Rhinolophus ferrumequinum: one gene and its partners. The protein of the gene in region 3 purifies or fractionates together with the protein of the main gene of each other region. This does not show direct contact. Links are inferred from orthologs where the notes say so. Each region holds a gene or a part of one and is shown on either strand. Other genes may lie near its edges. The genes, in order: MED18, POLR2B, MED9 and MED16.

What was found.
Region 1: the proteins of MED9 (region 3) and MED18 purify together in Homo sapiens (affinity purification with mass spectrometry; 6 studies listed by BioGRID and IntAct, counting the BioPlex papers as one, with this or other methods). This does not show direct contact. The link is inferred for Rhinolophus ferrumequinum from reciprocal best matches to the Homo sapiens genes MED9 and MED18.
Region 2: the proteins of MED9 (region 3) and POLR2B purify together in Homo sapiens (affinity purification with mass spectrometry; 4 studies listed by BioGRID and IntAct, with this or other methods). This does not show direct contact. The link is inferred for Rhinolophus ferrumequinum from reciprocal best matches to the Homo sapiens genes MED9 and POLR2B.
Region 4: the proteins of MED9 (region 3) and MED16 purify together in Homo sapiens (affinity purification with mass spectrometry; 5 studies listed by BioGRID and IntAct, with this or other methods). This does not show direct contact. The link is inferred for Rhinolophus ferrumequinum from reciprocal best matches to the Homo sapiens genes MED9 and MED16.

The regions. Positions count from the first base shown.
Region 1 is NC_046292.1:19,448,813-19,455,769, reverse strand, and holds the start of MED18 (mediator of RNA polymerase II transcription subunit 18), read right to left. Parts: upstream 3,015-6,957; 5' UTR 2,824-3,014; exon of another isoform or gene 2,227-2,823; 5' UTR 2,158-2,226; coding exon 2,085-2,157; intron 1-2,084. UniProt on the Homo sapiens protein: Component of the Mediator complex, a coactivator involved in the regulated transcription of nearly all RNA polymerase II-dependent genes.
Region 2 is NC_046288.1:18,688,132-18,695,237, reverse strand, and holds the start of POLR2B (DNA-directed RNA polymerase II subunit RPB2), read right to left. Parts: upstream 3,019-7,106; 5' UTR 2,466-3,018; coding exon 2,447-2,465; intron 1-2,446. Other genes in the region: NOA1 (nitric oxide-associated protein 1), read left to right, coding at 3,244-4,393, 5,271-5,435, 6,069-6,274. UniProt on the Homo sapiens protein: Catalytic core component of RNA polymerase II (Pol II), a DNA-dependent RNA polymerase which synthesizes mRNA precursors and many functional non-coding RNAs using the four ribonucleoside triphosphates as substrates.
Region 3 is NC_046304.1:1,260,237-1,267,457, reverse strand, and holds the start of MED9 (mediator of RNA polymerase II transcription subunit 9), read left to right. Parts: upstream 1-4,207; 5' UTR 4,208-4,280; coding exon 4,281-4,492; intron 4,493-7,221.
Region 4 is NC_046301.1:62,029,079-62,036,863, forward strand, and holds the start of MED16 (mediator of RNA polymerase II transcription subunit 16), read left to right. Parts: upstream 1-4,780; 5' UTR 4,781-4,978; intron 4,979-6,398; 5' UTR 6,399-6,423; coding exon 6,424-6,556; intron 6,557-7,349; coding exon 7,350-7,457; intron 7,458-7,765; coding exon 7,766-7,785. Other genes in the region: R3HDM4 (R3H domain-containing protein 4), read left to right, coding at 20-105, 187-242, 1,333-1,436. UniProt on the Homo sapiens protein: Component of the Mediator complex, a coactivator involved in the regulated transcription of nearly all RNA polymerase II-dependent genes.

The DNA of each region.
Region 1 (6,957 bases), on a different chromosome or scaffold from region 3:
AAGAAAAGGGCCTGAGGAACTTAAGGAAATGAAAGGATATCAGTGTGGCTGAAGTGTAGTGAGTGAGATGGCAAATGATAATGAAATGAGGAATTGCCATGGGCCAAAGCCTGCAGGCCTTACATATGGTCCATGATAAAGGCTGCATTTTATTCTAAGGTCATTGGGCAGCTATTAGTTCCACATTTTATTCTCCACACAATAGGGAAAGACATGAATAGATTTACATCTTAAAAAGATCATTCCAGGGCAGCTGACTGGCTCAGTAGTTAGAGTGTGGTGCTCATTAACACCAAGGTCGCAGGTTCGATTCCCACATGGGCCAGTGAGCTGCACCCTCCACAACTAGATTGAAAACAATGAGGAAACAACAACTTGACATGGAGCTGATGGGTCCTGGAAAAACACTGTTCCCCAATATTCCCCAATAAAAATAAAAATAACTAATTCCAGGAAAACTGATGGACTCCACCAAGACACAGTCATGGGGGAAAAAAGTGGGGGCAAAGGTAGACTGGTCCAAATTAAAAGACTTAAAAGACACAATTATCAAACGTAATGCATTAAACCTGATTGCATCCTGGTTACAAATCACATTTTTGGGACAATTAGGGGGAAATTTTTGAATATAGACTAGGTATTAGATGATACTAAAAATATATTATTCATTTTTTAAGATAATAATGATGGTATTGGGGTTATGAAGGAAAATATACTTTTTTTAAAGAGATGTATACTGAAGTGTCCAGGGATAAAATGTTATGAGGTCTGAAATTTTCTTTAAAAACAGCAAAAGAAAAAAGATGAAGCAAATATGGCAAAATTATGGAAACTGAAATCTAGATGATGGAAATGTAGTGTCTACTATAATAGTCTCTATTTTCTATATGTTTGAATTTTTGAATAATAAAACAAGTTTTTAAAAGATGACTAGCTATTGTGTGAGAAGAAATGATCAAAAGTAGAAGCAATGTAGTAAGTGAGAGATTGCTAAAACAATTCAGGGATGATAAACCAGGGTGTGGTACTGCAGGTGGAGAAAAGACACATTTAAAGTATATTTTGGAAGTAAAATGAATAGGACTTAGAGATATACTAGATGTAGGATAAAGGAAAAAATGGAGATTGACTCCTGAATGCTTGGCTCAAGCAACTGGTGAATGGCAGTGGCTCTTACCAAAACGGGAAAGACCGAAAGAGGAGGAGCTTGAGGAGTGAAAATTAATAACCCTATTTTGTTCATATGAAGTTACTAAATGAAGGATCTGAATTAAAGCCTAAACTCTTTCACTAAACATTATATGACCTTCTGAAAATCATTAACCTTTCTGGGTCTCGAGTTTTCTCCTCTGGGCAAGTTACTTTACCTGTTTCCTGATCTATAAGATGGAGCTAACTAATAAGAGTATCATAGAATTACCATATGATCCAGCAATCCCACTTCTGGGTATATATCCAAAAGAATTCAAAGCAGGATCTTGGAGAGATATTTGCACACGCATGTTGATTACAGCATTATTCACAATAACCAAGAGGTGGAAGCAATCCAAATGTCCATCAACAGATGTACAGGTAAAGAAATGTGGTATATACATAAAATTGAATATTATTCAGCCTTAAAGAAGGGGATCCTGTCACATACTACAATATGGATGACTTGAGGCTAAGTGACATAAGCCTGTCTGTCATAAAAAGACTAAAGTTCTATGATTCCACTCATAGGAGGTATCTAAAGTAGTCAAAATCAAAAACAGAAAGTAGAAAGGTGGTTGCCAAGGGCTGGGGGTGGGAAGGAGGGGAATTAAGTGTTTCATGGGTATAGTGTTGCAGTTTTGCAAGATGAAAAAGTTCTAGAGATCATCTATACAACAATGTGAATATACGTAACACTGCTGAACTGTAGATGTGAAAATGTTTAAGATGGTAAATTTAACGTTATGCGTTTGTGACCATAAATAAAAGTAAACTTTTTTAAAAAAGTCTATTGGGTTACGCAGGCTGCTTTGGCCTAACAGGCTCTCATCTCCACAGAAGCTGAACAGAAAAGAGGAAAACAGGTAATCCAAGCGCTCAGGTTCACTTACCCTGCAGCAGGTACTCCATCATGTTAATGGTGCCTCCAGTGACAGGCATCATGGTGACCGGAGGTGCCTCCATGGTGTCTAATTAAGTTGAAGAATTTAGACTGGATTCCGAGTCCCCAATCAAGAAAAGCACAGGATACACCTGGAGAAGAATTACACTACTTAGTACATCAGAGAGGTAAAGACACCAGATCTGCTTCTGTCATTGGTCTTAACATCAAGATTCACTGGTTCACTCAAAACTTTTTGAGTAACTGCTATGGTCCAGTTTCAGGAACTAATGATATAGAAATACACAAAGGAAACCCGACCACGGAGTTAGAGCACAATTTTCTACCCTCAAGGTCTGAAATCTTTACAAACGTTCTGTTCAATCTTGAAGAAGTCATCAAACCTCTCACCCTGGGACTCAACGTCTTCCTTGTAAAATGGGGTCAACGATATTTAGCCCCCAAGACTTTCTGGCTCAGATGACATAATGGACATATAATAATACTCAGAAAAACTGAACGGTGACTAAGGGACTTGCCTGTCCTTCAATATATAGATGAGGAAGGATACTGAGCAGCGGAGAAGAGCCCAAGGACACAGTCAACTGGTAGCAGAGCGCGCACCAGAATAAAATCCGGGCGTTCCGCCTCTCTGAAAACGGCTTTTAAAGCGAGCCAGGCGGAAGCGCGAAGTTAAGATGATGGTTTAGGTGCTCCTAAACCAGCATCGAGAACACGTGACCACTTACACCTCCGTGCGCGCTCTACCCTCTTCTCATAAAGCGGAGAATTATATCTACCCAAGCATTTCTAAGCTTAAGAGCGACAATTAGCCCCCCGCCTTAAAATTCAAACCCCTGGACATTGCAACACTCCTTCCTCCTCTTCTCGCTTCCGGCCAAGAAGCCGACGTAGTACAAACCTCCCCACCGCCGCCGCCGCCGCGCAGCCTAAGGGTACCGACAGGGCTTGAAATCGCTCTTTGACCGGCAAGCAGAAGCGCATGCGCAAGATGCGACACTGCTGCTTGGAAGATGGCGGCCTCCGTGGAAGCGTTCTTCTGGGAGTTACGGGGTGGAGGGAAAACCTTGACGTCATAGGCTGTCCTCCAGGACATTTTTTTTTTTTTCTAGTTCGACGACCTGGAGATGTTTTTGTCTAGGAAATCTCTTGGAACTGACGAGGGGGGGAAGAGAGCCTGGGGAAGGGAGCTGCAGAATAAAGAGAGACTATTTATAAAACAAAGACTTTTTGTTGGGTACCTGAAGGTGAAAAGAAAAGACATTTGCTGCTTAGCATAATGTTCTGAACAATTAAAGAGCTCAACAATACACTTAATATTTGTTCACTTTACTGTGTATATTTTAACTTCAATTTAAAAATATAGAGTGTTAAGTAAATTCAACGAGTATTTATTGAACGCTACTTATGTGTCATGCAGATAGGAGAGGGCGGACAAAGTGGGGACTAAAGTTAAGTGAATGAGGCACTCTCCTGGAGCAAAAAATTTAAGGGGACACCAAAAAACTCAGTAACTAAGATAAATAATACTTTAATGCAACATTTTACAAATTTAATACCAAAAAACCATTAATGAACAAAATATCAAAATTTCAAATTTGGATCTTCACAGCAGCCCTAGAAGCCAAGTATTCCTGTAATTTTACAGATGGGGAGACGTAGGCAAGAAGTTAAAAAACGTGCGAGGGAGTGGAGAAGCAGGGATACAGATCTAAGCTGCTGATTCCAGAGCCCAAGCTCTTAAATTATTACATTAAACGGACACTTCTAGCTCTAGCTCCCCCACTGGAATCTATACTACTGCCCATTCATTCATTTTTTTAAATTGAATATTTCTTGAAAGTCTGTTGTGTTCTAGACATTCTGTTAACTGTTGTTGACTTTATCTCTGCCCTCAAAAGGGTTTATGGGCAAGTTGTGGCAATCAGAATTAAACGGAGACAGTACCATGTGATTCGATTTAATAGGATAATGGAATATAAATAGCTCAGCTGCTTGGGAAACAACCAGTTTGCTTGATTCATCTTGGGGGCATCAGGGGAGGATTCCTGGAAAAGGTAATTAATGCTGGGGTGGCCGGATGGCTCAGTTGGTTACAGCGTGAGCTCTTAAAACAAGGTTGCTGGTTGGTATGGTGGGCTGTGTTCCCTGCAACTAAAGATTGAAAACAGCGACTGGAATTGGAGCTGAGCTGCGCCCTCCACAACTAGATTGAAGGACAACGACTTGGAGCTAATGGGGCCTGGAGAAACACACTGTCCCCCAATATTTCCCAATAAAATTTATTTTTTAAAAAAGTAATTAATGGGGGCCGGCCCGGTGGCTCAGGTGGTTGGAGCTCCTGCTCCTAACTCCGAAGGCTGCTGGTTCGATTCCCACATGGGCCAGTGGGCTCTCAACCACAAGGTTGCCAATTCAATTCCTCGAGTCCGTCAAGGGATGGTGGGCTCCTCCCCCTGCAACTAAGATTGAACATGGCACCTGAGCTGAGCTGCCACTGAGCTCCCAGATGTCTCAGTTGGTTGAAGCGTGGGCTCTCAACCACAAGGTTGCCGGTTTGACTCCAGCAAGGGATGGTGGGCTGCGCCCCCTGCAACTAGCAATGGCAACTGAGCTGCGCCCTCCACAACTAAGACTGAAAGGACAACAACTTGTAGCTGAATGGCACCCTCCACATCTAAGATTGAAAGGACAACAACTTGACTTAGGAAAAAAAAAAAAGTCCTGGAAGTACACACTGTTCCCCAATAAAGTCCTGTTCCCCTTCCCCAATAAAATAATAAATAATAATAATAATAATAATAAAGTAATTAATGCCTAAAGTAACCTGAAGGAACAATACCGTGTTTCCCCCAAAATAAGACTGGGTCTTATATTAATTTTTGCTCCAAAAGACACGTTAGGGGGATGTTCAGAGGATGTCATCCTGAAAAATCATTCTAGGGCTTATTTTCCGGTTAGGTCTTATTTTCGGGGATTCACGGTGGGTGTCAGCCAGATAAAGAAGGGAGGAAAGGGAATTCTAGGTAGTGGGAACAACATGTATATAAGGTCATTGAGTTCAATAGAATTAGGATACAGAATCTGAGGTTAGAAGGGATGAGAAATGAGTCTGGAGGAGTTGGGCCCAGATTCTGGAGGATTTTTCACATCAGACTAAAGTAGAGATGTGAGCTTTAAAGAGCTCACTCTGGCTGCAATGTGGAGAAAAGCTTCGGAAAGGAGGGCCTGGAGAAATAAGACCAGTTAGGAGCTTTGGCACAACTCCAAATGAGAGATAATTGCAGAAGAAAAGACAGATTTTAAAAATATAAGAGAATCATTTGATGAGTAAACAGGTAAAGACAGGGAGAGGGAGTCACAAATGTCTAAATTTCTACCTTGGATGCCATAGTAATGCTTTTTTCTGAGCTAAGAAACACGAAGTCATGTAGGTGAGGCAGGAAAGATGAGTTCATATGTAGATACAATAAGCATGAGGTGTTTCAGGAACACCCAAGTGCAGTGCCCAGCCGATGTGCAGGGGAGAGAGAGCTGGGCTAGAGGTAGAGATTTCAGAGTCAGAGCTTCAAAAACAGTAGCTAAAGGCATGAGAACAAATGAGATTACCCTGAAAGAGTGTACAGAATAGGAAGAGAAGATGGCTAAGAACTGAAACTTGTATAGGATTCTGACAGTTATTTGAGCTGTGTATACCCCAGGGCTTAGGATGTGCCTCCTGATAAGCCTGGTGGTTCACAATATTGGGCAGAATGACAAGTTCTCAGTGCTGTAATGACTGGAGGAGGTTGTAAAATTGCTGGGCCTCTCTTTTCCTATATAGACATCAACCAGAATGGAAAATTTAGTGAATCATGGGTTCTTTGAGGCACCAAAGTATTTACTCAAATTTTAGCTGGCATTGTATAGTAGGGTTAAATTTAAAATATATATATATATATATATATACAGGAAATGGATGAATAATATGGTAAAATTTGGATAAGGCCTAGGAATTAAAGGGATGCGTTTCTTTGATAAGGATGTGAGGTCTGGAGCTTAGAACTGGGCTCACATCTGTCCTCTGCCACTACACAGCTGTGCAACCTTGGGCAATTCACTTCCCCTCTCTGAGCCTCAGCTTCCTATTTTTGTAAAATAGAGATAAAAAAAATTTCTAAGGCAGAGATTGCAAAAATAAAATGTTTATGAAACACTTAGCATAGTGCCTGGCTTATTGCAAACAGTCAATAAATGGTAGCTATTATTATTATATTTGATATCTCTCATTTGAGCAAATAAATTCTGTCTTATTGAATATACTTTGTGCAGATCTCACCCCCCCGGACGGATGTAAACATCTTGAAGGGAGGAATCATTTATTTTCTTTATATGTATGTGTCTTAGCTTGGGCTGTTATAACATAATAAACATATAACATAATAAACATAATAACAGCATAAACTGGGTGGCTTATAAATAACAGGACTTTATTTTTCACAGTTCTGGAGGCTAGAGGTCTGAGATTAAGGTGACAGCATAGTCAGGTTCTAGTGATAGCCCTCTTCTGGGTTGTAGATTGCTGACTTCTCATATCCTCACATGATGAGCAGAGCAAAGCGAACTCAGGTCTCTTATAAGTGCGCTAATCCCATTCATGAGGGCACTTCCCTCAGGACCTCATCTAATCCTAAGCACCTCCTAAAGGCCCCACCTCCTAATACGATGATATAGGGAAGTAGGATATCAACACATGAATTTTGGGGGACACTAACGTCCATAACAGTGTGCTTTACATGTACTAAGTGTTCAAAAAGTTTGTGGAACACATCACAATAGCTGCCAATTATTGAAGAGTTGCTACACACCAACAACTTTACACT
Region 2 (7,106 bases), on a different chromosome or scaffold from region 3:
ACCCCCAGGGCTTGATGACTCACTAGGTATAGGGGTGAAGAAGAAGAATCAAGAATCATGCCCTGGATTCTGATTTCAACAACAGAGGAGGGTGATACCATTCACTGAGATGGAGAACACAAAAGGAAGCAGCTTTGGAAGGGGGATGAGGAAAGGAAAATGACCAATTTGAATAATGACAAGTTTGAAGGGCCTGAGAGACATCCATGTGAAACTGTCTAGTGGCAGTTAGACATACAAAACATCTGGACTGGAAATATATTTTCAGAAGTCGTTCACATAAAATGGTAAATGAAGCCATGGAGAATGGATGAAATCATCCAGGAAGAATGTGAACAGAAAAGGATAAAAAGGAAAGTCACAACATAGGTAAGAGCCATTAAGTCAGAGTGATCTGGCAAAAGAAAGGAGTTCCAGAAGGAAGTCATCAACAATATTGAATACCACTGGGTCTGGATAAAGTTTAAAAATGCCCACCTGATTTACCAACTGAGAAGTCACTGATATTCTTATTAAAAGCTGTTTTAATGTAGTGGCATGAGCAGAATTAGATTGCAGTGCGTTGAGGAGAACCTGAAAGGTGGGGGTTGAATCAAGGACAGCCTATTCTTTTTAGAAGCTTGCTGTGAAATGTGGAAAGCTTTGCCTTCCAAAGGCAAAATATTGGGAAAAAAGGAAACAATAAAGAGTTTAACTTATTTTCTTATGGACAAAAGAGATCTAATAATTCACATAGAAAGAAGCCAACTGAAAAGGAGTGTCTGAAAACTGACAAATCTAATAAAAGATACAAAGGACACAGGCAGGAATGTAAACTCAAAGCTGAAGAAGACTTTTATCAAGAGGATGACTTGTAACTCTTTTTTCCACAGAATTATTTATTAACATGGCGAATGAGAGGATAAAGCACAACAATCACTATCATGGTCACTTGGCACCATCTGGTCACTTAGCAAAATGTTAAACATGTATATCATTTGACCTGACATTTCTACATCTAGAAATTATCCTACAGACATACTTGTACTAAACAAAAAAAAGTACAAGATTATTAATTCCAGCACTGTTTGAACCACGGGAAGAAAAAGGGGAAATAACCCAAATGTCCATCAATAAGACACTAAAGTTATGGCATATCCATTCAAACTACGTAGCATTGGGGGGGGGGGAAATGAGAATGCTCTCTATGGATATGAAAATCTCCCAGGTAGATAAATACACACACACACACACACACACACATATACACACATAGACATATATATATATATATATATATATATATATATATATATATATATATAAAACGTAAAAAATAAAAAACACAGAAAAGTGTAAATGTTCCTATGGGTGGGTGGTGGCAACAGAATCCCACTTATTTCCTTGAATGTACATAAAACACTATGGAGTGATAATCTAAGACAAGTGGGTACCTACTATGAAGGGGGTTCACACTGGGAGATGGTGGGCAAGAAAAGAGACCTGACACTAACATTTTTGTATTTTCTGGCTTATGAGACACAGAAATACATTACCTAATCAAAAAATTAAATTAAGAAAAATTTTTTGAATTTCTTTTCCACTCAGAGAGGCGTTAAGGGAATATAGTAATGCTAATACATTTCTAGACTCAAGATGTAATTGACACAGAGTAATTTAAACAGCAGAGTTTAAGCTTTTGTTTTTCTAGTTTCTCCTTGAAGTAGCTGAGGTAATAAGAAATGTGAAGGGTGGCTACGGGCTGGGAGCTAGAAGTAAATGAAGTTTGAAATAGTAGCTGTGGAGAATGGAAAGGGGAGCTTTAAAAATACATAATGAAAATACAGGAGACATGACTAATTCGGCACGTGAAAAGATATATTGGCCCTGTTCAGTAGAACACGTACCATCTAAGAACTATGTTATTTTGTGGGAAAAGGAAATTTAAATGTCCTCTTTTCAGACAATTGCCTTAGATGTATGACAGCATTGAAGGAATGCCAAACTAGACCAACCCCGTCCAACCACACACTGTATTTTTTGTCCCCGGTGTATTTCCAAAGACTAACACAAAGCCTGGCCCAGGTTGACGCTCATAAATTCAATAAATCCACTAATTCTGGCCTTAAGGAAAATGAAAAAAGGAACCCTTCACTGCACACAAAGTCAAAACAACGGAATTTATGTTAGGGTTCTGCACGCTATTCCAATACAGGAAGGAGGTATGATTTATCCAGCAGACAATGGAAGGAACAAGTGCCACTCAGACCGGGAATATTAATGCTACATTCCCTGCACCCTCCACCTCTCGTAATCCCGGCTTCGTCCCCGGCCTGGGGTATGCAGGGAACATGACTGTGGACACTTGTGCAACGGGCTAGGAGGAAGGCCAATCCTCAATTCGTCCAGCTCCCCACGTTTCCCTACTTAGATGGGTCGCCGGGGAGTGTTCTGAGCGGTCACCTACCCTCGTCCGCGTCATACATGTTTGCAAACGGTTCCCGAACTCTAAGCTCTTGAAATCACAGACAGAACGGTGCGCACCAACGACCAGCACCAGGAGCCTGAGACAAAGTAATTTCCGCCGACGGCGTTCCCAGAATACTCTGCGTCTTCCGCCAAAGGCCACCCACAAAGAAGCCAACGTAAGATCTGCGCCTGCGCATATGGTAGGCTAAAGTGGACAAGGGTTAGAATTGCGCACGCGCAAACTGCAGGCCTACGGGTCCGGTGGCTGATTGCGCACACCACTCCTACAGTCTGAAGATCGGTTCCAGCCAATGAAAAGTTTTTGGTCGTTTTTCAATATTGCACAAATAATGACACCTGAAAAAAAGAAATAAGAGACTTAATTAGTAAAAAGTGTTCATTGTGGCCGTCAGCGTATGGCATTCGACGTTGTACTTTTTGCACTTTTAAAGCCGAAAAACAGTGCTTTTTAAAACGTGGCTTATTAAAGGCGGGTTATGCCATTGGTGGCGCATTGAAGAAGGCTGAAAGTGACCAAACCCTCACAAGCTTCTTCTGCCCAACCGGCACACTCTAGGTCTCCGTCCGGTACCTTTGCCACATCTTTGAGCGGGCTCTTAAGCCTTGGGGCTTTCATCGCGAGAATTTACGAGATTAGATGCGGGAGGAGGAGCCGAAAAGTGCCTGACAGTTTTCAGGTAGTTCCGGGCTTAATCTCGGGTTTAATATGCCACATGGGCCCCAGTACGCGTGCGCACAAGTGGCTCCGCCCCTTGGTACAGGGCCGGGTTCCCCATGCTACCTGCACTCCTAACCCGTAGACTGCTGTGCCCCTTGCTGCGGGGTTCGGTTCCCACCGTAGCGTGCCATGGCCTCTGGGATCCGCTCCTCAAGAGAAGATGCGCGGCCGCCCCCTCCTCCCAGCACCTGTCGGGCCTGGGACGTGAGCTTCCTGGTGGCCCGACGGCGACTGGGGGTTACGAAGGCAGGGATGACATGGAGGAGCGTTTTCTGTTCCCCGAGTACGTCCCGGAGCCGGAGCCCGCACCGACCCTAGAAGAGCAGCTGCGCGAGCTGCAGCAGCGGCAGGAGGAGGAGGAGCGACAGAAGCAACAGCGGCAGGAGGAGCGGCGGCTGCAGAAGTTACGGACCAGCCGCCGGGTGCACCCGGTCGTGGGGCACCCGGACCCGACGGTGCCGCGGAGCGGCCTGAATTGCTCGGGCTGCGGGGCGGAGCTGCATTGCCAGGACCCTGCCGTGCCCGGCTACCTGCCCAGTGAGAAGTTTCTTAGCGCGGCAGCGCAGGCCGACGGCGGGCTGGCGCGGACCGTGTGCCAGCGCTGCTGGCTGCTGGTGCATCACCGGCGCGCCCTGCGCCTGCAGGTGAGCCGCGAGCAATACCTGGAGTTGGTGAGCGCCGCTCTGCGGCGGCCCGGACCCGCCCTGGTGCTGTACATGGTGGACCTGCTCGATCTGCCCGACGCCCTGCTGCCCGACTTGCCCGCGCTGGTAGGCCCCAAGCAGCTGATCGTGCTGGGAAACAAGGTGGACCTGCTTCCCCAGGACGCTCCCGGCTACCTACAGCGGCTCCGGGAGCGGCTGTGGGACGACTGTGCCCGCGCCGGGCTCCTGCGGCTCCCTGGCCACTTAGGGCCACAGCACCCCGGCGGGGACGGGCCACCGGACGGGCAGAAGAATTGGAACGCTTCCACCGGGTCCCGCACCGTGCTCAGGGACGTGCGGCTCATCAGCGCCAAGACTGGCTATGGAGTGGAAGAATTGATCTCTGCGCTTCAGCGCTCCTGGCGCTACCGCGGCGACGTCTACCTGGTTGGCGCCACCAACGCTGGCAAGTCCACTCTCTTCAACACGCTCCTGGAGTCGGATTACTGCATCGCCAAGGGCGCTGAGGCAATCGACAGAGCTACCATCTCCCCTTGGCCTGGTGAGCCTTAGGATGCCTGCCCCTTAAAGCCACCAGGGAGTGTCTGGATCCTTCCCTGTAAAAATTCTCTCCCTACTTTGGTCACACCTCTCTTCTGTGTCAGCTTAGTGCTTGAAAAGTTAGTATATGTCATAGTAACTTCCTGATAGAAATATTTGTGTTTCTATCATAGTAACTTCCTGATAGAAATATTTACTTCTATCTTTCGGTCACTGTTCTAGGCACTGGAGATAAACCAGAGAACAAAGCAAAGTTCCTGCTTTCTTGGAGGTTTCTCTTGTGGCTTTACTTTGTATGTTTCCCAGAAAAACCCTTTGACTTTCTAAACCTCCCTTTACCCCTCAATCTTACTCTTCATATCTTGAGTTCATGATATCAGTTTGCCACACATGTTTAACATTTAAATAGTTCACTAATGCAATATGATGTATGGCTTTAGAAGACGTCAATTTTGTGGCTTCAGGGAACTTCTGTGACTGGGAAATGGGTCCATCTATGACCCTGTTTGTATTTAATAGTTGGCAAAATTAATGGCATTATTTGTTCCTTTGAAACCAGTGTTTGATTTTGCTTGGTAAGCTGTTCTTTGCTGTCCTAAACTATGAATTATACACAGAAGTACTTTTATATAGTATGGTGAAGATGGAAAGAAATCAGGCCTGCGGGTTTGGGATTCACCTCCAGGTTGAGCCTGTGAGCCATTCTCTGAATCTATTTCCTCATCTGTAAAGTAAGAATAATTTTGTAGAGGGTTGTCATGAAGGTTAAGTGAAATAAATTACAGTGCCCAAGACAGTGTTGCTCCTTGAAAATATTAGCTTTCCTCCCTTTATTCCCTTGTGCAATGTTTATAAAAATGTATTCTTTGATATTTCAGGTACTACATTAAACCTTCTGAAGTTTCCTATTTGCAACCCAACTCCTTACAGAATGTTTGAAAGGCAAAAAAGGCTAAAAAAAAATGCAAATGAAGTTGAAGAAGATCTTAGTCAGCTAGAACAAAATCAACTTACTCTCCTGAAAAAGCATGGTTATGTAGTAGGTAAGCATCTTCTAGAGGAAAACTCTTGGTGGATCTATGCTCAAATTCTTTGTTGAGCAACCTGAAATACAGCTGTCTGAGGCTAGCCAGTTTTTGCTGGGAGAGACTACTTTTCTCGTTCTGGAATATAGAGGCCCTTTAGAGGCAAGGTGGATGTTTGGAAAGCCAGAGTTCACTGTGCTAAGAAAACTGAGACAGTAGATACTTGGAGAAATGCTGGAAAGGAATCATGAAGCAACTGCCCACCTAGCCATTGTCAGCAGAAGAATTTCCACAAAGATGTAGCCTCGCTCCTTGAAGACCAGTACAGGTTGTTGACTCCATGCAGCAGCTCTAAATTAGATGGTCCCCCTTTCATTGGTTATCTCTTTTCAACCTTCATTTACAAATGCAGTTTGACTTCCACCAGTTCTCACCACCCACCTCCCTCTGATATACACAGCCAGCCACACACTTGATGATCACAAGAGTCTGACTCCCACTGACTTAGAAAGAAAAAAGCAAAGCTATCATTGTAGTCTCACTTACATACCCCATATTAGTCTTCGTAACTTGAGTTGAACATGAGAATTACCTGTCTGGAGTCAAAGGCTTTAAAGGAGTGGCTAATAACTTCAATATAACTTATTCTAGGACGAGTTGGAAGAACATTCTTGTATTCAGAAGAACAGAAGGATGAAGCTGCCTTTGAGTTTGATGCTGATTCACTTGCCTTTGACATGGAAAATGAACCTGTGATGGTTGCAGATAAGTCCACCAAACGAGTAGAACTGACCCCACAAGATGTGAAAGATGCCCACTGGTTTTATGACACCCCTGGAATTACAAAAGAAAATTGTGTATGTATTTGATGTTTTTTAGAAACTTTAGATTAACCTTCAATTGTATGAGTACCGTCTTAATTGACAGAACACAGGAAAGGAGGTATACTTTCCTTATAGACTCAGTTCTGATTCATTCATAGCAACAGTTCAGGAATGAATCTGTATGCCATCAAGTTCTGTATTCCATTTGGTGGGCTTCACTGCTGACACCCTACTTACAGTATTGTGGTTGTTACCTTAGTTAGCAAGACATTTACAGAAGCGTAGATTTTGAGGTTGGAAGAAATCATAAATATCACTGCAGTCCGGCCACCTAGTCCATGCTTGAATCCCCTCTATAACATAGCCATCAAGAGGGCGTCCAGCTTGACCTGAAGTGAGGAGTGACTCACTATCAGCTGAAGCAGTGTCACCTTGCCTCCCAAGGTAACCTATTTGATCTCTGACCTGCTCTTTTTGTGGAGCTGAACAGTCTCCCTGTAACGTATGCCCATTGTTCCTCAAGGTGTATGAAATGCATGCCTGTTTCCCTTGCCAGACTTTGAGGTATTTTAAAGTATGATGTCCTGTCTTTTCCTCACTCTCCCATTTTCTTCTCTTTCATTGGCTCATCCAACTTCCTGAGTACTTCCTGTGCTGACAATCCTGATTCTTTGTCATTATTTCCTACCTATAGACATTATTTCCTCCTCTGAGACAGGCTGTTCATCCATCCAGGCACGTTTTCAGAATGGTTTCTAACTTGTTTTTGTCTGACACTAAGAACTGAATTTCTTGTATAAGTGCCCTCAGATGAGCATAACTGAGAATAGTATTATATATCTTTTTAATCCATGGCAGGATCTCC
Region 3 (7,221 bases):
AATGACTATTTTTGGACTCCACGTAGCAGAAATGTATCACAAACATATTCATAGGTATTTGTGGTGTAGGTCCACTTAGAGCATCTGAAAGTTCAATTATTGGATGCAGTCTGGGTTTTGTGTTTGTGCTTGTAGTAACGGTTTGCTTCATAAGGAATAATTATGAGGGGTTTTTTGTTGTTGTTGAGAAATTAGAAAAAACAGCAGTAGTTGCCAAAGTTTAAATAGTGCTTACTACGTGGCAGGTATTGTTTGAAGCACTTTTACATTAACTCGTGTAACCCTTACAGCAGCCCTATTAGGTAGGTACCGTTATGATTTCACTTTGCAGATGAGGAAACTGAGGCAAGGAAGGTTAAATGACGTGTCCAAGGTCACACAGTTAGAAAGAGTAGAGCCTGGACTCTAATGTACCAAACTCCCAGGTGCCCATCCCCGTATTTGGCAATTGTTCATATTTTTCCAATTTACTTCCTCTTATAATACATAAATATATTTTAAAAATATAACACTATGCAGAGAGTTGCAGTGCGATCCCCATCCCATGAAGGTGTTTGCGTCTGTCTCAGCCTGTTGATAGTACTGCTTCAGTTAGGAGTGCCCGGGCACTCACCCGGGCCTGTGCCTCGTGGGGCCACCCCCACAGACGTTTCCCCCACCAGAACCAATACTGTGGCTGGACCAGCCCTTGTAGTTCTTTTTAAAAGCAAGGCACACCTCAGCAATAGCCATCAGGTAACTTTGCAAAAAACAAGGTTTATTACAAGTCCTGGAGAGTGCATGGCACTTCCAGGGTCATAGGCAGAGAGAGAGACAAGATCTGGGGTTCTGTCTCTATTGGGGTTGAGGGTGGGGTGCTTAGGGTTTCATGGGCTCACTCTCTTTTTGATGAATTTAAAACATAAGAGCAGGAATTGAGGCACAGGAAGGGAAAGCAAGTGGTCAAACTGCCAGTCAGTCCAGGTTCCCCAGGGCTTTCTGAAAGGTGAACTGAATGGTGGCTCTCTATCTGGTTGTGTAGCTGACAATACGATATTTACTTCAGAGGGAAGTCTTTGAAATGGATCCCACAGCAATTAAAAGCTTAAAGTCACACAATCAATCAACACAGCTAATTGTCAGACACTTCTACTTGAGTGAGGTATACCCTTCAGTTCCTTTCAAAAATATTTTTACTCGTACATCTACATCTTGTATCTTTGGACAATATACAGTGTTATTTTTCATATTTCAAACATTTGCATGAGTAGTACTACATTCTACTTCCTTTGTGAAACTTGCTTTTTTCCTCTCATCATTATGCTGAGTTCTGGCTATGTAGACACATATGGATCTCTCAACTGCAGCATCCAGTCCTGTGGCAGCTGGCCACATTTGGCTAGAAATGTGGCCTTTCGAATTTAGATATGCTGTCAGTGTAAAATGCATGCTGGATTTCTAAGACAGTGCGAAAAACAGTAAAAGGCCTCTAGCAGTGTTTGATATTGATTAAACGTTGAAATGATAGTATTTTGGATATATTGGATTAAATAGAATATATATCAAAATCAATTTCACCTGTTTCTTGTTATTTTTTAATGTAACTACTAGAAAATTGAAAGCGACCTATGTGGCTTGATTTACAGCTTGCATTATCTTTCTGCCGGAGAGCTCTGATCTAGATCCTTCCTCTTAACTGCGTTAGTCTGGGTTTTGTTAATTGGTAAAGAAGCAAGCCCTAAATCTGAATAATAAGAGCTAATATTTACTGTTCACAGATACTTTTCTAAATGATTTATATGTAATAACCCGTTCAGTCCTCCTGGGAAGTTGCGTGGCTGCACGAAGTGAGGTTGTGCAAAGTCATGTAATTTGAAGCAGGCTGAGCTGGGACTGAAGTCAGACAGACTGGCTCTAACGGCCTGACCTTGGAACCGCCAGCTTGACTGGAAAGGCCCTACGAGAAACAGAGTCAATTTGCCTAGGGAAGGACAAGATCCCTTAATTTGGTGATGTCTCTAAGAATACACAGTGCTTACGTATCAAGAGAGCATTTGCCTTTTTCAACTTGTAATGGACCGGTTCTGAACAGACACACATTTGTTGTGGCAATTTTAGCTTTAATGAAACCAGCACAGGTAGTATTTTTTTTGACACTGGCTTGCAATGTTATGAAGCCAGCTTTATTCTTTGCCACTAATTATATTAACTGTTTTTAGGGCAAATTGTCAATGCACCACACTCGTTTATGCTTCCTACATTTTCAATTTGTTTTCTTTAGCCATGTCTATTTATATCTAAAGTGTTTTTTTTTTCTTTTTTTAAAAAGATGTCCTCATTATTCTGCCAATGACAAAATTGGGGCTTGTAATTAAGTTGTAAAACACTGGGAGGGAAAAGATGACGTGTGATTGCCATGGGAATATTAACTGATGAATATTGGATTGCTTTTCGAATTCTGAATACAAATTTCACTGTTAACATTTCGAATCATGAAGTTACAGAACTGGTAGAGACCCAAGGTTTCTTATGTGTTGGGTAAGACCATAGGCTTGGTGTCAGGCAAACTGTGTGACCCTGGGGCCAGTATCTTAACCATTGTAAGCCTTAGTTTTGTCATTGTAAGGTCCTTCACAAAATGGAGATACTAACACCTACCTTTTGAGCTCTTTTGTTGATTAAATGAGATGATTGTGACTCTGTTTTATGTGCCTACCTTCATTGCACGGCAGTTGTGGTCATTACTGTTTTTATTAGTAGCAGTTGTAGAATCACTATCATTATCATTATTAGTATTGCTATAGTATCATCATTATTTCCCCAGATGGCTCCAAGGGTATACAGTCTCTTTAAGCACACCTGCTCCTATCCCAACAGGATTTTCTCCTCCATTCTCCACCAGGGCTCTCGAACTCTTCCCGTAGGTAGAGAGATCCATGATTCACAGGAAGAAAACCCTGCAGCCTTCTCCCTCTGGGGTGCTGTGGGCAGCTCTTGCTGAAGAAAGCTGCGCTGAGGCCCTTCACTCTCTACAGCACACACTCCAACATCCCCACTTCCTTCTGCGGTCTTGCTCCCCTAGGATCTGTCTCCATAAACCCCTCCTGAGGCATCTGCAAATGTTACCATTGATGCTTTCCCTGGGATCAGTCCCTTGCTCTGAAGTGCTACTGCTCATCTTGCCACCTGAATGTGGACTTCCTGACCTCTCTTTAAGGCTCATGGTGGTAGACGGAGGAAGAATGGGGCTGTCCTAGTTCATTACTTCTTCCACTCACTAACTAGGCTTAGGATGGGTGTCCCCATTGCCCAGAAATTATACTTGTTTTGAGGAACATAACCACAAACCCACTTTGAGGGTTACCCACTTTGGCCTAGGATGCTAGAGGGTCCTGAAACCAGACCTTTGGAGATAACCATGGATCTGAAATTAGAAAGCAGTTTAGGGTCTGCCGTGACCCTGAGTTAAAGAATGTATTAGAGGTGAGGAAACTGGGGCCTAGGAGCTTAAGAGACTGGCACACAGGTACGGAGAGTACCTGAGGTTGACTTTGCTCTAGGATATGGTATTTATTCCTGGCACGAATCCCGTTCTGCTTTGTATTAGTGAAGACAGCCTCCTGTCCCCTCCCCCCACATTTAGTACATCATCTATCGTCCAGAAGATGCATATTAAATGCTGAATCATTAGCTTCTCTCTATCCAGCCTTGCAGAGCTCTGAGGGCTGTGCCTCTGCGTGCTAGGGCTCGCACCGGGTCTCGCACTATCAGCTCCATCAGGGTTTGCTGCCTCTCCTCCTGGAGGCTCCTGCGTGGCGTAGGGCTGTAGGTCCTTCACCTCTGGATTTTCAATGTCCTTAGGGCTCAGTGCCTTAACATAACAGGTGCTTGGTAAGTGGTGTCTACTCTGCTCACCGTTCAAGTTGGTTCTTTGGGAGACCTCTGAGGGCTGGGCCATGCCGACCGAGCCTTTTTTATCTAAAGCCTTCCTCCAGTAGCTGCTTTTGGACCCTCTTCGTTAAGTGAATAGGAATAAGATGTTATTTCTGAGGCAAATCCCCTATTTCTGACTACTTAATAATTTGGTTATCTTCACAACCAAATCCCGGCCACCTTAGACCTGCCAATCAACTGTTGCCTAGTAACATCCGGCCCGCCCCCGTGCCTTCCGCCCCAGCGCCCAATTGCGCACGATCACAGGTCCCGCCCCCTGCGGGCGTGCGGAAGTGACGTTGAGGGACCGCGACGCCTTCGGCCGGCAAGTGGATCGGGTCCGGCGGACTGACGGAAGCCGGAGCGCCATGGCCTCTGCCGGGGTGGCCTCCGGGCGACAGGCTGAGGATGCGTTACCGCCGCCGGCCGAGCCGCCGCTGCCCGAGACGAAGCCGCAGCCGCCGCTGCCGGTCGCCGCGCCTCAGCCGCAGCAGTCGGCGGCGCCGAGGCCTCAGTCACCGGCGGGCGTGAAAGAGGAGACCTACTCCTTTTTACCTTTGGTTCACAACATCATCAAATGGTAAGGGCCCGGGAGAGGACCAGCCGCGACGCGCCCTCCCTCTTCCCGTCACGTTTCACAGCTGCAAAGGCCTAGGTGCTCTCGGTACACCCCCGTTTTATAGATGGGGAAACTGAGACCCAGAGGGGGAGGAGGCCTTTCCCAGGACCTCACTGAGTCGTTCCGTGAGTTCAGCACATGCTTGGAGCCCTAGAGCTGCCAGACCTCGTGTGGCTGGCCGGGCGACGTTCTTAACTATGAAGCCAGCTTAGAGACTGAATGCACAGGCGCTGCAGTCAGGCTACTCAAGTTTGCATCCTAGTGAGGTGGCGCAAGGCGAGCTTCTCTGAGCCTCGGGATTTTCCCCCGTGATATAGGGGCAACACTCATTTTAGTTTCCTTCTTCCGACAGATCCAACAGATAGGATCATCTTCCCTGTGTGGCACACTGCCTAGTGCTGTGGGACGCACAGTAAAAGGGCCAACTTTTCGTCCCTACATTGCTTACCAGTTAGAAGGGGAAAAGGGACAAACGGGAATAGCTCACAGTTCAAAAAGGTTGGTGGGTGACAATGGGAAACATTAAAGAAAACAACGACACAGAAGTTGCCCACCAGAATGGATCCTGTAGTAGTGACTTTGTTCTAACATAGTATCAAAATGGGTGATTGGCCGCCTTTTGGCCATTCTTCAGGTTAGCCTGAGTTTTCAAACTGACCCTGTAAAGGAAACTAAAAGCCACAACCAAAAATCTCCTTGATCCCAATGTTTGCCTAAATTATTTTTACTGTTATGTTATTTATATGCACATAATACTCGGTGTAAACCCCTTGGCTTGTAAATTATTCAACCATTAAAAACCCAAACAAAGTAAATTAAAATGATTATTATAGTAATGTTCAGGTGAACATATATGTGCTCTTGGTGTTTTGCTGAAGTGGAATTGCTACACACAACATGCAAGGATTGGCTGTTAGTGACCCAGCCTCTTTTGAGTTCAGCCGGACAAGGTTCACTTGCTGTGGATTGATGACCTGATGCTTCCGCCACTTTTCAAACAACTGCACGCTCTTTGTTCTCACATTAGGCCCTGGTTTCATTTCGCCTCACTGGGTGTGACCATACTGTGTACAGGGAAAGACAGACTCTGTTCTCTTTAGCCTGTGATCATCAAGTAGCACTTCTCTGCAGCAGTAAGAGCGCAGACAGCAGAAATGCAGACTCTGCAATCCCAGGGCAGTGCTAGATTACAAATACATGTTTGAAGAAAAACAAGAAAAACGAAAACAAAATACACACATTCTCGGAGACAGTTCTCGGACACCCCGGGAGTATGTTCTGGAGCCCCAGTAAGACAGTTGGGTTGAGCTGGCCTTGAAGATGGGGCACAAGTATGTGGATGGAAGGAGCCCTGCCTCCGGGCGGTGAGCACACAATGTGATACACAGATGATGTAACACAGAACTGTACATCTGAAACCTATGTCACTTTGCTAACCATTGTCACCCCAATACACTTTAATTAAAAAAAAAAAAAAAGATGGGGCAGGAAGGTACACTAGAGAAAACATGGGCTTAAAGTCAGATAGCCTTGGATTAAAATCTCATGCTGTTGCTTGCTTGCCTGGTAATCTTGGTGAATACTGAACCTTTCTGGGCCTCAATTTTCTTCTCTCTACTGTGAGAATAATAATAATGCACTTCCAACAGTGGGTTCAAATTACAGCTTTGTACTGAACTGACTGAGTGACCTCGGTCAAACAAGTTAGCTCCTCTGAGCCTCTCTTTCTCTTGTAAAGTGGGACTAATAATACTTAAATCATAAGATTGTTGTGAGGTGTACTCAAGAGCAGTCTCTGGTGAAAGATGGTAGGTTGATTACGTCTTGGTCTCTGTTTCCTCTAAAAGGACAGTGAAGAGTTGTTTTGTTTTAAGCACAAAACCAAAAGAACAGGACAGGAACGAATTGCCACAAAGCAGATGGCCAAGGGCTCACCCCCCACCCCACCCCAAGAAGCAGCCTGAAGCAACTGCCTTTGACCATGGCCTGTCTGTCCCCAAATCTCAGGAGTTGGCAGTACCAGGGACCTCTGGATGTAGGGGTGAAGGGAGACTGAGAACAGGAGGATTACTTAAAAGTCTGTTTTTTAAGAGGGAGACCCCCATAGCTCTCTCCCCCAACTCTAAGCAGACAGGTGACTACCATTCTTCCATCTTGGAAGACAATTAAAGGGTTGCTCTTTCCCAAGATGTATTCTTAGGAAAGAATAAGCCAGAGAGTATCTGGTCTGGAGGGACAGCAAGCACATTGCAGGACTGTGAGGGAGGGAACCGGATGGAAAACCCGGCTTAAGAGAAAGTTCTCGCACTGAATACTGAGACCCCACCCTTGCCTTCCCCACCTGGCTTCTAGAGTGGCAGCCGGAGACAATAGAGTCACCTGCTCTTGCGTGTCTGACCAGCCCAAGAGAAAAGTGATTGGGGGCTCCCCAAGAAAGAACCTAGTCAGTTCACATGACTGGATAGCCAAGGTCACTAAGCGTGTGAAGAAAGCCCCTAGTAAGAGAGGACAAAGCAGAGGAGCAGAAGAAGCCACGTGAAGGAAACGGGGTAGTGCGCACAGAGGAGAGAAACTAACCCTGAAAACGGGCGAGGATCCGATTTTAAAGTACGCCTACGTATGTTTGAGTTTACAGGCTAATGAGGGAGACCTTGTGACTCCTGGAGGAGTCATAGGGGTGACGCCAGTGA
Region 4 (7,785 bases), on a different chromosome or scaffold from region 3:
GGGCTTGTCTGTCCTGCAGGGAACGCTGGAGACCTGGGAGGAGAGGCTGCTGAGGTTCTTCTCTGTGTCCCCCCAGGCCGTGTACACAGCCATGCTGGACAACAGGTGACGGGTGGGGGCGGGCACTGTGAGCTCCCTGGGTGGCCAGTTTCAGCTCATGGCCACTCACCTCCTGTTCCTCCTCAGCTTCGAAAGACTCCTGCTCCACGCCATCTGCCAGTATATGGACCTCATCTCAGCCAGTAAGTGCCTGGGGCCTGGGACCCCCAAATGAGCCAATTTGGCCACAGCAAACTGAGGCCAAATGGGGTCTGCTCACTCAGCCAGAGGCTTCTGGGGGCTGCGGAACAGCCTGAGCAAAGCGGTGGCAGTGGGACACTGTGAGGCTCCTGTGGCCCTGGCGCTACTCTGAGTGACACAGTGTAACAGACACCCCTTCATCCACATCTTCAGGTCCATGGGGAGAGAAGGACCTGTGTGGGGATGATGAAGCTGGGCCTCAAGGGGCCCTGAGATTACATGAGGGTACCCCAGTGTCTGCACGTTCCTCATTTAGCTATAGCCCCCTTCCCCTGTGCCATACATGTGACTTCTGGCAAGTAACCCCTCCTGGGACCTGTGTCCCCACTTTACAGGAGGGGGTGGTCTCGGGACACAGCCCCCCCAGGAAGGGTGCTCACACGCCCTAGCTGGCCCTGAGCGCCCCCAATAGGAACTCCCCGTGCCTCTCTCTCTCTGCCTCCTGCCCAGAGTTGCTGAGACAATTTCCATGGCAACCCCAGGATGGTTCATCCTGAGATTCCTGAAGCTCTCCCTCACAGGAAAGCAGCCCCCATGCTTCCCTTTGTTCCCATAGACTCAGGATGTTTGCTTTTGTTCCCATAGGCTTAGGATGGAGGGACTGGGCTGGGGGTGCAAGATGGGGAGCAGGGGAGAGGGAAAAGCCGGGCCTGCACGGAGGAGGTGCCAGGGGAGGACTGAGCTTCAGAGATCCTGAGGGCAGGTATGGACGCAGGGGACCAGGAAAGAGGTGCGACACTTGTTCAGGGCCCGTGTCCCCTTGGCCTCCAGCCTCTGTGTCAGTGTGCCCATCTAAACACGGGATGAAGGACACAAAGGATGAAACAGGGTGCAGAGGGAGGCCCTAACGTAGCAACTGCTCTTTGCGGGAGTCTGGCCCTGGGACCTGGGGCGGGGGAGGGGGTCACATCAGACAGACCCTAAGTGCCAGCTTGCAGTGACTTCTGGCAGGGAAGAGCCAGAACTCGGTGCCTCTGTGTGCCATGACTCTCACGTTCCTTTCATTCTTGCCCCACTTGTCCCCTCTTGCAGGTGCTGACCTGGAGGGCAAGAGGCAGATGAAAGTCAGCAATCGTCACCTGGACTTCCTGCCACCTGGGCTGCTACTGTCTGCTTACCTGGAGCAGCGCAGCTGATGGCGGCCCTGCCTGCCGGCTCCTCTCCCCCACCAAGACTTCCCATACCATCTGCTAAAATATGTTTGTTATTTTTAGAGTTTGTCCTTGAAGATGTGCTCACCCCCTTGGGGAAGCGGTCTCCTCACCCTGGCCCCAGCCCGGCTCAGCTCTCCCAGGTGAACAGCTGGCAGCTGGGGCTGCCCCAAACTATCCCAGGGCCCCGTAGCTCCCCACTCTGGGACTTGTATTTGGGTGGGGAGACCGGTCTGTTCACTTTGATGTTCCTTCTTGATTCAGTTTTTTGTGCCCAGTCTGAAGCTTAAGTGAGAAGTAGCTGGGTTTTTATCACTTAATTCGGTGTGATTTGTTGTAGATTTTTAAATTTCCCATTTGGGAAGAAAAACCAAATACTTGCCCCAACTGATACATTGGGGGGCTTTCTTCTAGTCCCTGCTTTACCCCCTCCCAGTTTTAGGCTAGGATGGGGAGGTCTCTGGGGTGCTGCCCAGAAGCAGTCCATCTTCTCTGTGTGTGTGTGTGTGTGTGTGTGTGTGTGTGTGTGTGAGAGAGAGAGAGAGAGAGAGAGAGAGAGAGAGAGAGAGAGAGAGAGAGAGTGTGTGTGTGTCTGGGTACGCGTGGGCATACCAGTGCTCGTGACCCTAGACAAGCTGTGGCTTAAAGGCTGGTTTTAACCCTCTTTGGAATGTGTGTCAACGGGTGCCTTTTTGTGGCTTTTGGGGCCCTGCCTGCTCTACCACTCCCCCCACCTCCAACGTTTCTCCCCTCCTTTCATACTGGAGGTCTGGGACTTCCAGCCAGAAGCTCCCTCCCTCGGACTGCCACTTTCCCCACTCCATGTCCCCATGTCCCCTCACCTTTCCCCTCCTTCAGCCTGGCTCTAGCCTATTGGTTTGGGGTTTTCTCTTGCTGGTCACCCTGTCCTGGTCCAGAGAAGCAGGGCTGGGGGACACCCCACTCCCGTGTATGTGGTTAGTTGCTCATTGAGGAAAGTGGAGAGTTCAATAAATTTCTGGTGCTCTGGTCTCCAGCTGTGGGGTTTTCTTTTGGGGCAGGGCTGGGGCCCAACAGGCCCTCATGATGCTCTTGCGCCCTGGTCGCTGAGGGCTGTGGGCCTGGGGGGAGTAGCTTCACGCTGAGTTGCAGCCAGAGTGTGAGGCAGGTGGCAGAGAGACTTCTGGGAGCATCTGGCCATTGGCTCTGCCGCCCTGGCCCCTCACTGGTGCTTAGGTTCAAACCCCAGGTCTGCCACTTCCCAGCTGTATGATCCCCGCCCCCCAGCTGCATGAACTCGTGGAAGGTTTCTGAAGCAGCAGGAAGAAATATCCCACACTGTGCTGAAAACCACAGGGATTTCTCGTCTCCCAGGTCTGGAAGCCAGAAGTCCAAACTCAAGGTGTGGCAGGGCTGCGCTCCCTCCGGAGGCTCAAGGGGAGGGTCCTTCCTGCTTCTCTCAGCTCCTCGGGACTCCAGTGTCGCTTGGTTTGTGGCTACATCCCTGTGGCCTGTGCCTCCGTGGTCGTCACGTGGCTTTCTCCCTGCGTCTCTTCACGTTGTCTTCCCTCTATGTATGTCTGAGACTGGCCGGGGGTCCTGCAGGACCTCCCCATCCGGGTTTTCTGCTGTTTCCCCCATGATTGCACTGAGGGAAGCGCCCTGCTCATCTGATCACATCAGGGTCCCTGCTGTCCCAATTGCTCCTCACGGCTGACTTTGACGCTGATCTCCTGGCCGGGGTGCTTTTCAGGCTTCTGCACTGGGAAGTTAAACCACGCCCCACCCAGCCCCACCTGCCCTCTCGGAATGAGTCGCCTTGAGCAGCCAACGCGGAGGGATGGGAGTTTCCTAGAGGGCGGAGAATCTACGTTAATTCGATAGAAATTTTGCAAGGTAGGGCTGTGGATCTGGAGGAAGAGTTTCTATGGCTGTGGATATGGGGGAGGAGCTTCGCGTTGAGTGACAGCCGGAGAGTGAGGCAGGTGGAGAGACTGGAAGTGTCTGGCGGTTGGCTCGGCCGCCCTGGCCCCTCCCTGGTTCCTCGTTCAAACCTCAGCTCCGCCACGTCTCCCCGGCGCGGTGCCTGTATTTATTCAATCATTTATGTCTTTGTGGAGGGGTGGGTATTTACTTCCTACTACTTTGGGTTATAATCCAGTATGACTTCATTTTGTTGCAGAAATGACTCCAGGATTGGCCCCTGGGAGCTCTCCTGGAGGGCTCCCATGTCTCTTTGAGGCATCCCCATCATTGTGGGGTAATTTTCTGAGCACGGTCCTGACTTCCTGCCGCTACAAGATGCTCCTGCTCGGCTGGTGTATTTCTCTCAGGTGCCTGGTTCCTTTTATCCGGGCACTGTTTTGGAAACCAGTGGGCGCTGGGTGCACTGTATTCCATTTTAATATGCATTTAAATAATTTTAAAGATAGACGCTGAATAATGGAAATCCAAATGGCTAGTACGGAGGACAAAAGGAGATATTTGAGTCGCCAGCTCGGAGCCTCCCATCTGCGAAGGGGACCGAGTCCCCAGGTTCCCAGAGGACAGGATTCGGCCTCGGGCATGGGGCTCTGGGGGCCCACACAGGCCTCTCCCACTGCCACGCGGGTTCGAGTCTTGTCCTCGACATATGCTGGCTGTGTCAAGTTCTTCCAGCCGGGGTTCCCAGGCTGCCGGGTTCCCAGGCTGCCGGGTTCCCAGGGCCTCCAGGCCTTTGTCCAGGAGGTGCCTTACGCCCGGTGCACCCTTCCGTGCAATCCCCGGGGGTTCTTCCTGGGGAAGACCCTTCAAACTGGGGAAAGTCTGGCAGGAACAGAAGCAGCTTTTGGAGGAGGAATTGAGGATGGGGTTTGAATCCAGAAGAGCCCTCAATTGGATAAGGTACCTGGGCTTATCAGCGCCTCAGTTTCCCCACCTATAAACATTATACAGAAGTAGAGAACAAACAGAACTAGCTTTTAGAGGACTTAGTGATGGGGTTTGAGACCGGAAGCAACTTCGATTGGGTAAACCACTTCCTTTATTTTGTCGCAGTTCCTGATACCAGGAAAGAGAAAAATATGGAACGCTTCACGAATTTGCGTGTCATCCTTGCGCAGGGGCCATGCTAATCTTCTCTGTATCGTTCCAATTTTAGTATATGTGCTGCCGAAGCGAGCACAGTTCGACTTGTGACCCGAGAACTATTTAAAGGGTAAAGATAAAATTTCTTTACACTAACGGTGAACCTCGTTACAAAAGTTTAGCAACAAATTCTTATATGATGTTAGGGTAACATATAGCGGAACCAAATGCGGTCATTTACTGGAGTTGAAAAAGTGTTTCTTTTTCTACCAAATAAAACTCAGGTGGCTGCTGGGAATTATTAATGCCTATATTCAAACGACCCGGAAGTGGGGCGGAGCCGGAGCCGCCGCCGTCCCAGAAGTCTCCGGGAAGCTGTCGCGCTGCGCGGTCGAGTTGTTGGTCGTGGGGAAAGAGAGTGGCGCTGGAACCGGGGAGTTAGGACGAGTGCTGTATGCGGCCGTGGTGTACGGGCCCGTCCGGTGAGCGCGGGACTACGACGGCCCGGAGGGTCAGCCGGCCTCCTGACGGCCCAGGGCAGCGCGGCCCGGAGAAGGCGGGGACTCCTGGGCCCTGGGCGGGGTCTGTGGGGTCAGAGGGCGGGTCTGGAGAGCAAAGGGTTCTGGGTACGTGGCCTGGGCCGCGCTAGGCTTGGTCTGGGGTTTTTGGCGGCAACTCGGGGTCCGGAGCTGGGGGAAATTGGGGCGGGGTCTAGGGATTGTTTGTCCCTGAGGAGGGTCCTCGGACGAATGGAGGGGAGGCTTGAGGGTCTGGGAGACTGGGGGGCGGGACCTAAAGATTGCGCGGGGCCCCTGTGATGGAGTCTGGGTACCGAGGGAGAATTGGAGGTGGGGTCCTGGAAGCCAGGTATCTGGGGGGTGGGGTTTGGAAAGCAAAGGTTGTTGGGGGCGTGGCTGGAGGTCTTTGGGGACTGAGCTGGGGGATTGGTTGGGGTCTCTGGAGCGGAGCCTGAGAGTTTAGGCTGGGCCTGGGAGCTCAAGGAACAAATTGGGAGCGGGGTTTGGAAAGCAAAGATTGAAGGGGATGGGGATGGAAGGCTTTGGGAGCGGAACTTAAAGTGTTGAAGGGGCTTGTGGCGCGGCTTTGTTGTTCTGGAGCAGGGCCTGGAGAATTGGGGACGTGGGGGTTGATCGTATTAACAATCTGACTGGGCTTTTGTGATGGTGAAAGGAAATAACCTATAATTGATGCCGGGCACATAGCTCTGAGGAAACGTTCGCCTCTATTGTTAGCGCTCCACTCAGCACGTCCCACACTAAGACCAAACTGCTGACTCCCCGCCAACCCGGCCAAAGGCAGCCCCACCAGTGCCCTGCCTTCCGAGTAAACCCAGGATCCGACCTCTTCTTACAGTTGCCACTGCCGTCCACCTTGTTACTGGCCTGGACCAGTGCAGTTACTTCCACCCCATCTCCTAAGCTGTACCCTGCAGAGAGCCAGAGGGGTCCTGTTGAAACATAAATAGGTCACAGCCCTCCTGGGGCTCCCACCTCACTCTGGGTGAAAGTTCACCGTCACCCCCACCCTCAGCTCAGCTGCGTGGCCACTTCTTCAGTACCCTAGACTCAGTCCAGCCTCTGTACCTTTGCGGTGGCTGTACCCTCTGCTAGGAATGCTCTTCCCCAGACATCTCCATGCCTCAGACCTCCCTCACACCCATGCTCATATGTTGTCTCCCTGGTGTGGCCTCCTTGACCCTCCATGTTTAAAATGCAGCTCTCCCCACCCCATCCCCAAAACCCAAGGTCAGGGATTGGGCCCTTTTCATTCTCTGGCGACCCAGCATCCAGCATAACTTTTAGTGCCCTACAGGTGCTCAGTGAATGCTACGATGAGCTAGTCCTCTCTGTCACTCCCTCAGGTGGTCATTCCCTCCCTCAGGTGACTGGTGTGTGACCTGTGACAGATGGATCTGGCTTATGTCTGCGAGTGGGAGAAATGGCCCAAGAGCACCCACTGCCCATCAGTGCCCCTGGCGTGCGCCTGGTCCTGCCGCAACCTCATCGCCTTCACCACAGACCTCCGGAACGACGACCAGGGTGTGTCCCCTCACCTCCAGCCCAGCTCCCTGTCCTTCCTCTCCCCACACAGGCTCCCACAGTACCTGGAACACTGCTATTGGGCAACTCCAAGTCTCCAGGCCTGCCTGGGAGCTATCTTCCACCCATCCAGGCCCTCTTAGGGCTTCCTCACTTGTAACTGGGGGAGGTGAGGGTCTCATCCTCACAGGAGTGCAAAGGGCAGGTGCATTGAACTGCTGCCTGCTGTCCTCGGTGAACCTCGCATTGAAGTGCTGGCTACTGTGGGGATGCTCTCCTACCCCTGTGTGATAGGAGGGGCTGAGGGTGGGCAGCCCACTCCGGTTTGTTGGAGACTAGTGCCTCAGTTTCCGGGCCGTACATGTCACTGTTTGGCTTTTGAAAGCCTCTAAGGTGCACGGATGCTGGGCTGTCTTCTCTCCATCATCCGAGTAATGTGCACTCATTACAGAAAATTTAAAAAGCGCAGGAACTGAGGAAAAAGAACCACCTGTCACCTTCCATGTCAGCATGTATGGGGTCATTTTCTTCCCTTTCTGTTTTCTGGGTCTCTTAACAATGTGGTTGTAGACACACTGGTGGCAGACTCCCGGGCCTGCTCTGTTCTCCCTTGGGGACACGGCCTGTTCCTCGTTACTGCCTGGGCCGTCGATCTGGTCAGCAGCACCTCCATGACTCCCCTGTGGGTGGGACATTCTCTGGCTTCCTCCCTGAGTCCCCCTGGGGTCATTGGTTGCCTCAGGGCCATGTCATTGTCACCTTGCTGACCATGCCCTGTCCCCCACCCCGGCAGACCTGACCCGACTGATCCACATCCTGGACACGGAGCATCCCTGGGATGTGCACTCTATCAACTCAGGGCACAGCGAGGCCATCACCTGCCTTGAGTGGGACCAGTCAGGTGAGGGCAGAGCCGAGGGTGTTCCTGCATGGCGGAGGGAGACCACGGTGGTGCTCACCCTTGACTCTGAATCCCAGGGTCACATGCTCTGTCTTTTCCTGGTTATGTCCCCAGAGTCCAGAGCTGGAACTCGAACCTTTGACCTGTGGCTTTGCAGCTGCTGCTGTTCCTGTTCCCCATGTCCAGAGCCATTTCCTCAGCATACCTTGTGCCACTCCCCTGGGCTGCTTTCTCCCAGGCCCTTAACATACTGCGGTGATTATCCCTTCCCGCAGTGGGGGTTTGTGATGCAGGTTTGCCCCCCACAGGCTCCCGGCTACTGTCAGCT